Linked DNA regions of Danio rerio. The protein of the gene in region 2 interacts with the protein of the main gene of each other region in a biochemical or structural test. Links are inferred from orthologs where the notes say so. Each region holds a gene or a part of one and is shown on either strand. Other genes may lie near its edges.

Evidence for each region.
Region 1: the proteins of Na(+)/H(+) exchange regulatory cofactor NHE-RF2 (region 2) and prkcaa form a complex in vitro, tested with the Homo sapiens proteins (2 studies listed by BioGRID and IntAct, with this or other methods). The link is inferred for Danio rerio from reciprocal best matches to the Homo sapiens genes NHERF2 and PRKCA.

What each region holds. Positions count from the first base shown.
Region 1 is NC_133181.1:19,846,864-19,850,709, reverse strand, and holds the end of prkcaa (protein kinase C, alpha, a), read right to left. Parts: intron 617-3,846; coding exon 452-616; downstream 1-451. UniProt on the Homo sapiens protein: Calcium-activated, phospholipid- and diacylglycerol (DAG)-dependent serine/threonine-protein kinase that is involved in positive and negative regulation of cell proliferation, apoptosis, differentiation, migration and adhesion, tumorigenesis, cardiac hypertrophy, angiogenesis, platelet function and inflammation, by directly phosphorylating targets such as RAF1, BCL2, CSPG4, TNNT2/CTNT, or activating signaling cascade involving MAPK1/3 (ERK1/2) and RAP1GAP.
Region 2 is NC_133178.1:11,799,352-11,802,951, reverse strand, and holds the start of Na(+)/H(+) exchange regulatory cofactor NHE-RF2, read right to left. Parts: upstream 2,537-3,600; 5' UTR 2,216-2,536; coding exon 2,009-2,215; intron 1-2,008.

The sequences.
Region 1 (3,846 bases), on a different chromosome or scaffold from region 2:
ACCGGCTTTGGCGATAAGAAATCCTGAATGGGAAGACTGTCTTAGGAAGCGCACAACTCTGTGTCTGATATGGGATTAATGGTGAAATCATATGTCGGCCACAAGTGGCTTGAAATAAGATGGCCTCCTAGTCTTTAAAAATCAGTGTGGACAAAAATCACGCAGCCAGTTTAAGAAGTAAACAGCCCTTCCTAACTAGAGGTTAAGTATAAGTCTGATTTAAAAAAAGAATCTCTCAATCTCTTTTCAACCACTAAGGTAAACTCTTCGACTGGCCTACACTGAAATGACGTGAAAAATGGGACAAAAAATGATTTTAACCAAAAATAAAACATAGTTTGAGATAATTGTGGTTTTGGTTTAAAGTTTTTGACACAAAAGGGTAAAGGTATGGGTAGAGTTTTGGGGTAGTAGGTAGATTCACATTCATTCGCTGTTTCTTTCCCCTTTTTTATTCAGTGTTGACAAGGGAGGGATGGACAAATTGAGGATTGACGAAGGTAAATCCATCGAAATCAGCCTGGTCGATGTTGGCAATAACCAGCTCGTCAGGAGGGGTCAGTTGTGGCTGTGTGCGAGTGAAGAACTTGTCAAAGTTTTCTGCCCCCTTTCCACACTATAAAACAAAAAAGAAAATGAAATAATATTGTTTGACAAATCTGTAACATACAATAGGATTACACACAGAAAATATAATTTTTTTAAGCACAGATCACATAGATAAAAGCTGGCAATTTAGATATTGCACAATAGACCCTTTTCACATTTTCAGATTTCTCAGTAGCAGAAGGGAAAACTTAGAGCCCAGTGAATGGGAGGGCACAACAAATAATCTTTTTCTTATTTGCTCAAATAATAAAAGAAAAAAAAACCCCTCAATTATTTTGTATAGATGCTTAGAAAAAGGACTGATGACCGAAGCCAAAGGAGAGAACAACATCAAATTTATTTTCCTGCACCATAGATGCTGCATTAGAAACAACTCGCACAAGCGGTAATTTGTTTTTTGTAATGTGAAGCAAAGATAATATAATGCACACATAAATACATATAAATGTTCATACCTTAAAAAAAAAATCTAAATATTAAAAAGCCTCTATTATGGGTTTTTGAAAATGATCTTCAATGCAGTATGTAACAGAGCTCTAAGTGAAGTGAAATAACCAGCTAAGGCTTAAATTTTAAAGTGCACAGTGTTCAAAACTATTGATTCATCTATAAAAGAGTAGACTCGTAGTAGTTTGAATGAATCGATCCGGTAATGAGTCTTTAGCCATGTTGACGTGACGTCGATACCGAACTCAAGCCCCGCCCATGCAGACCCAGGAAAATTTAAACACCCGGCCCCACCCACAAACACTATAGCAGATCCCGAATGAATCATGTCTCGAAGATGCTGTGCTCTGAAGTGTGAGGGTTAGCGTTATTTTCTCTACCCAAACATGTGAAGAGGCTTTGAAGAGTCAGTAGTTGAAGTTGATTTTTGTAAAAATACCTCAGCATTGTAGCCCCAGCTTTGTGCTGTGTTCTCGTCATTTTTCTGACAAGTGCTTTAGCAATCTACACTCTTACAACGGGGGATTCCTAGGCCGTTTGTTAAAGGAAGGACTAGAAAAGACTACTGATGTATGGGACTTTGTCAGAGCTTGATATGAACTTTACAGTACACAGTTCATGGACCAGTTTCTTTTTCCATTTCACAAGTGTAAGTAAGTGTGATTAAAATGGTTGCCCCCTTGTTTTCTCTAGCTAGCAAATTATGTATTTAATTGTGTTTTGTTACTTGTAACCACTTGTAGTGTATCTGGTTAACTCTTTATAATCTTATATCATGTCTAAACCACATTTAAAACGTGATTCGTGCCGCTTTGTTGACAGATTTAAACTAGTTTGTGAGCTCGCAATCTACTGCCGTTTGTCGTTGCCACCGTCAGCGGTTCTTACATACATGTGGCGGTCAAGTTTCAAAATAGTTCAGCTTTTGCCACTGTGTGGATTAATATTGAATGTGTGTCACTGTTTTTATTTATGGTTATGAATAGAGCAATATGCTGGTGTTAAACTGCATTGCTTTAATGCACTCCAGAACTGGGTTCATACATTCTATCTGCACTCTACGTTACCTCAAAATTGTTAATAACTGTGGTGGGTGTTTCTCTCTGTTTCGCTCTGAACGCAGTTGACCAATCACAACAGACTGGTCATCGGACCAATCAGCGCAGATTAGCTTTGCGCTAAAGAGGGGTTTGGGAACAAATGAATCGCTGAACGAATGGGATTATTAGGTCAAAATAAATGCATATTATAAGACAATGGAAGTGCTGTTTGACCTTGCATGCATATCAGCCTGTTGTTGGAGACCCCCCAAAACTAACAATACCCTATTTAATGCATAATAGGGGCTCTTTAAAAACTTTCAAGGATTTAGATGCTGATGACTGCTAAACACATCATAACAGGCTTGTAAAAAGGGTCCATATACTTACTGATTTGTCTGTGGTTGGAAAAAAGATACTTTTAAGTGTTTAGTATGTAGGAAATATGCAATGTTATATTTATTCTTCTGTTCCCAATTGCTTCATGTCCAATGCACAGATTAACACTCCTCAGATTTCAGATTATATGCCCTACTTCCTCTTCATCTGGATGATGCATTGCTCAACTGGTTTGGAGGACACAGCTGTGGAAGCCAAACATGACAGTACCTTTGCCCATGATTAGTTAAACTAAGTGTGAATGTAATATGAAATAGTATTTATTTGTTAGATTCTTTAGAATCAATGGGGAGCTTTCATTCCTTCTGTTTTCTATGATAATATCGCAAATTTGACTCTCTAAATACCTGACACATAACCTAGTTAGTTAGTCATTACATTAATACCTGACACTTAATTGCTATTTAGTTCATTCCCTTATACAATGTACAGCGGGGAAAATAAGTACTGAACAAGTAATATTTCTAAAGTAGCTGATGACATGGAATTCAACCTAATTTTGGTAAAAAACCAAACAATACAAACATACCTGTAAAAAAAAAAATCTGAAAAACGAGTTGTGTTATAACAATGAAATGACACAATAAAAGAAATGTATTCAAATGTATTTACTACTTTATATAAAAGTTTTTTTTTAAGATTAAAGATGCCTCTCATATGGAGAATGAAGTCACATGAATAGTTCAGGTGTGAGTTTTCAACAAAGTGTAAAAATCCTGATGGTTCTGTGGGTCTCGTCTTCCAAATCTGATCTTTAATTTGTATTTTATATTAGATTTAAGTCAGGTGATTGGCTGGGGCCTTCTAGAGCTTGATTTTCTTTCTCTGAAACCATTTGAGAGTTTCCTTGGCTGTGTTTGGGATCAATGTCGTGACGGAATGTCCACCCTGGTTTCATCTTCATCATCCGGGTAATGTAGATGATGGACTGAATCAACTAATAATAATATACAGTGATGAAGGGCAGTATACTATTATATTTCATTTTATTATGCAAAACTTAATATATGGATTTCTTTGGATGGTACCAACATCTGAGAAAAAATCTAAATCAACAGCACGTTTAGCAATATGTATTTTGAAAAAAAAAATGACGATGTGTTCAATACTTATTTTCCCAGCTCTATGTATTCAGTGCTACTTAATGGGTTAGTTCACCAAAAAAATTAAATAGTCAATAATTATTATTTTCTCATGTCGTTCCAACCGCCTGAGACCTTCATTCATCCTTGGAAAACAAACTACGCTTTTTTAGAGGATATCTGAGAACTCCCTGATCCCCCATAATGTTGATAGCAACAGTTCAACATCCAGAAAAATACCCAAAACAATCCATGTACTGTATTTTTTG
Region 2 (3,600 bases):
CCATTTTGAGGCCGACCACAACGTGACATAGGAGTGAGGTTTCCCCGTCCACAGAATTGACTGACAGCCGTGAATTAACATCCATAGTAATGCGTTTAATCATATCAACAAGACAGGACGTGCGCAAAGCAACTGGGATTAAAAGATCTGTTCAGCTCTCTGTGATCATCAGTCATCATCAAATATGATAAAGAATAAGTTTTACAAGTTTAAAACGTTTTTAAAACAGTGCATGTTTGTAATAAAGTAGGTTAAAGATGGTAAAATCGCATTAATTCATCACCGCAGCCGCATATCAGTACAATTGTAAAAGAAGGCGCTTCAATCCCGGTTTGTGGACGTTAAATAAGCTTTATTTTGTACATTAACATAACGGATATCAGCTATACAGCAGTGGATATTAGCATGTACCCTGTCACATTTGCGTGCAAAAACAGAGCAAAGTTAAACGCGTGAGCTGTGTGTGTGTGTGTCTGTGTGTGAACTTTGTAAGGACACTGTGTGTGACTCGTTGTTGCAGAAAGGCTTGAATTAACTCCACAACAAATACATCCAATAATCATTGGGAAAGTTCTTACTGTAGTGTTTCTCACAAACCTTACGTGAGGTCTGCTTCCTTCATATCTGTAACTGTGCTGTTTATCTGACAAAGCCAGAGATGAGGACACTGACAATTTGCCATCGTAATGGCATCATCGGGGGGGTAGGGTTGTCCGGTTATATATGTTTGTGAAAAGCGGGGGGTTGGGGTTTGGGGACAGAGACGGAGTTTGACAGAGTGTGCGCGATGTGTGTGAAGAGCGAGGAGGGATCCGAGAGTCTCAAAGCAGTTGTGGGAGACTCCCGGAACTTCCGGGAGACTTGGGATGTCTAAATATCACGTTTAACAACTACAGTGAGACGCAATCCAGCGGTACATCCTTCATAAACTGTCTGACATGCTCTGCTCACTGAAGCTCAAACGAGCGCATGATAGTGTGTGTGTGTGTGTGGCTGTCTGTGTGTGTTTTCAGCGGACGGAGGGCTGTTCAGAAATGCTGGGTAAAACACGGTGTGGATGTGGATCATTTTCGTTCTAAAATGCCATTTTAACACTAAGACGTATTAATGTAAACAGGGCCTAAGTGTGTGTTTATCGCGAGCGGATTTGCGACGAGGGCAATCGTGTTGTCTATTGGCCATCAGCGATGGACAACGGCATCATCTATCGGCCCAACCCTACTACATAGTGTTCAGAGCGGACAGTCCCAATAGTCTGAAAGGTCTCATAAATAATCAGAAGTGTTTTGAGCTGAAACGTTACAGACAGACTCTGGAGACACAAAAGACTTCTCTTAAATCTTGAAAAAGGGGTAAAATAGGTGCCTTTTAAATAAACTTTTGTTAAAACTTTTATTGAGATGGAAGGATTGAAGGATGTTGGTCTGATTGGGCAGGTTTACATGAATACAGGAAAATTAAGACCTGTTTAACATGATTTAGGACTTACAATACAATGTTTCAGTGAATTTAGGGCCTAAAAGTTTGGATTTTGAGACATTTTAAGACCCCCACGGACACCCTGTAGAATGGAACAAAACTATTTACCGACATATGTACACATTTATTTAACAACATACTCAGTTTACATGTCAATTTGCACATAATATAGCTTTACACACATTATTGCCTAATGTAATATGCATTTGTTTTCTCTATTTACTTATTTAATTCCTTTATTATCAGTGTTTTTGTCCTGTCACTGCCATTTTGATACACTCTTCTGTCACAAAAGCAAACTCCTTGTATGTAAAATCTTACCTGGCAGTGGCAATAAAGCTCTTTCTGCTTCCATATGGAGATACATCCTAATCTAATTATCTTCAAGCACTTGTTTTAACACACATGTTGTTGTTATAAGCAATAAAATGCATAATAATACGATCCTGCATTAGGATCCAGTATAATGTGTGCTGAATATTTGAGACCAGCAGCTCAGGTGTGTGTGTGTGTGTGTGTGTTGATGTACCTGATGGTGTGTCTCTCTCTCCACGTTCTCGCCGTTCACCTCCACCACACGGTCACCCGCGCGCAGTCCCGACGCCTCCGCCGGGGACGCGCGTTCCACTTTCCGTATGTACTGTCCGGTTTTTCCTTTCTCTCCGTGCAGATGAAACCCATAGCCGTTCTCTCCTTTCTTCATTACGCACAAGCGAGGCTTCAAATCGCTTGCCATTGTATTCCGCCGTTGCCTTCACATTCACAAACTTGCAACACAATCCATGCGCGATTTCCCAAGCAAAGAAAAATAAATAAATAAAGCGGAAACTTACGTAAAATGCATTCGCAAAGGTTTATAAACGCGCATCGCTGCCGTATGCCGATGTGTTTACAATAACGCGCATGCAACAATTAAAACAGATATGAAGGCAGAAGACTCTCGTGTCCAAAAGCGCTCGCGAGGAATTACATGCAAAAGTGATAGCGCTAAAAGCAGACTGTGCAACTACCTGTGGATGTTCACAGACGCATCCAAAACTCCTCCATGAGACATTCTGCCCACAGAGAGAGAGAGAGAGAGAGAGAGAGAGAGAGAGAGAGAGAAATGCTGTCCACTGAGAAACTGCGTGGCGTGAAAAAAGACCGCCCATAAATAAGCGACAATACAGATGAGCAGAGAAAGAGGCTTATTTGACCCTCATTAATGTATGTAAACAATGTCAAATAGCAGTTATTGATTAAGGAATCATGTATGTTTATTTTTTTACATAATTTTTATGAACAACTGGTAAAAACTAAATGGGAAAAAATATATATGCACATACATGCAGTACCCATGCATATAAACAGAATTATTAGCCCTATCCCCCAATCTTTGCCATGATGACAGTAAAAAATATTTGACTGGATATTTTTCAAGACACTTCTATACAGCTTAGTGACATTTAAAGGCTTAACTAATTAAGTTGGGGTAATTAGGCAAGTCATTGTATAACAGTGGTTTGTTCTGTAGACTATCGAGAAAAAATATAGCTTAAAGGGGCTAATAATTTTGACCTTCAAATGGTTTTAAAAAAATTAAAAACTGCTTTTATTCTGGCCGACATAAAACAAACAAGACTTTCTCCAGAAGAAAAAATATTATCTGACATACTGTGAAAATTTCCTCGCTCTCTTAAACATCATTTGGGAAATATTTTAAAAAGACAACAAAAAAAAAAGAAAAATTCAAAGGGGGGCTAATAATTCTGACTTCAACTGTAAATATTTATGTAAATGTAGATATTACACACACACACACACGTATATATATATATATATATATATATATATATATATATATATATATATATATATATATATATATATATATATATATATAATAACTTAACCAGTTGTGTTAAATATTTGGTCCTTTGTTTGGTCATGTTTAACCTTTATTTGGTTATTTATTTTATTTGGATATATATTTTTATTTGGTTATCTACATTAATAACTCAACCAGTTGGGTTAAAATTTTTAATTTCAACAGTCAACTGATTTAACTGACACAGAACAGCTGTATTCTTTTAATAGTTTTGTATTTTTCTATTTTAATATTTTTGAAAACTGTAGGTTATT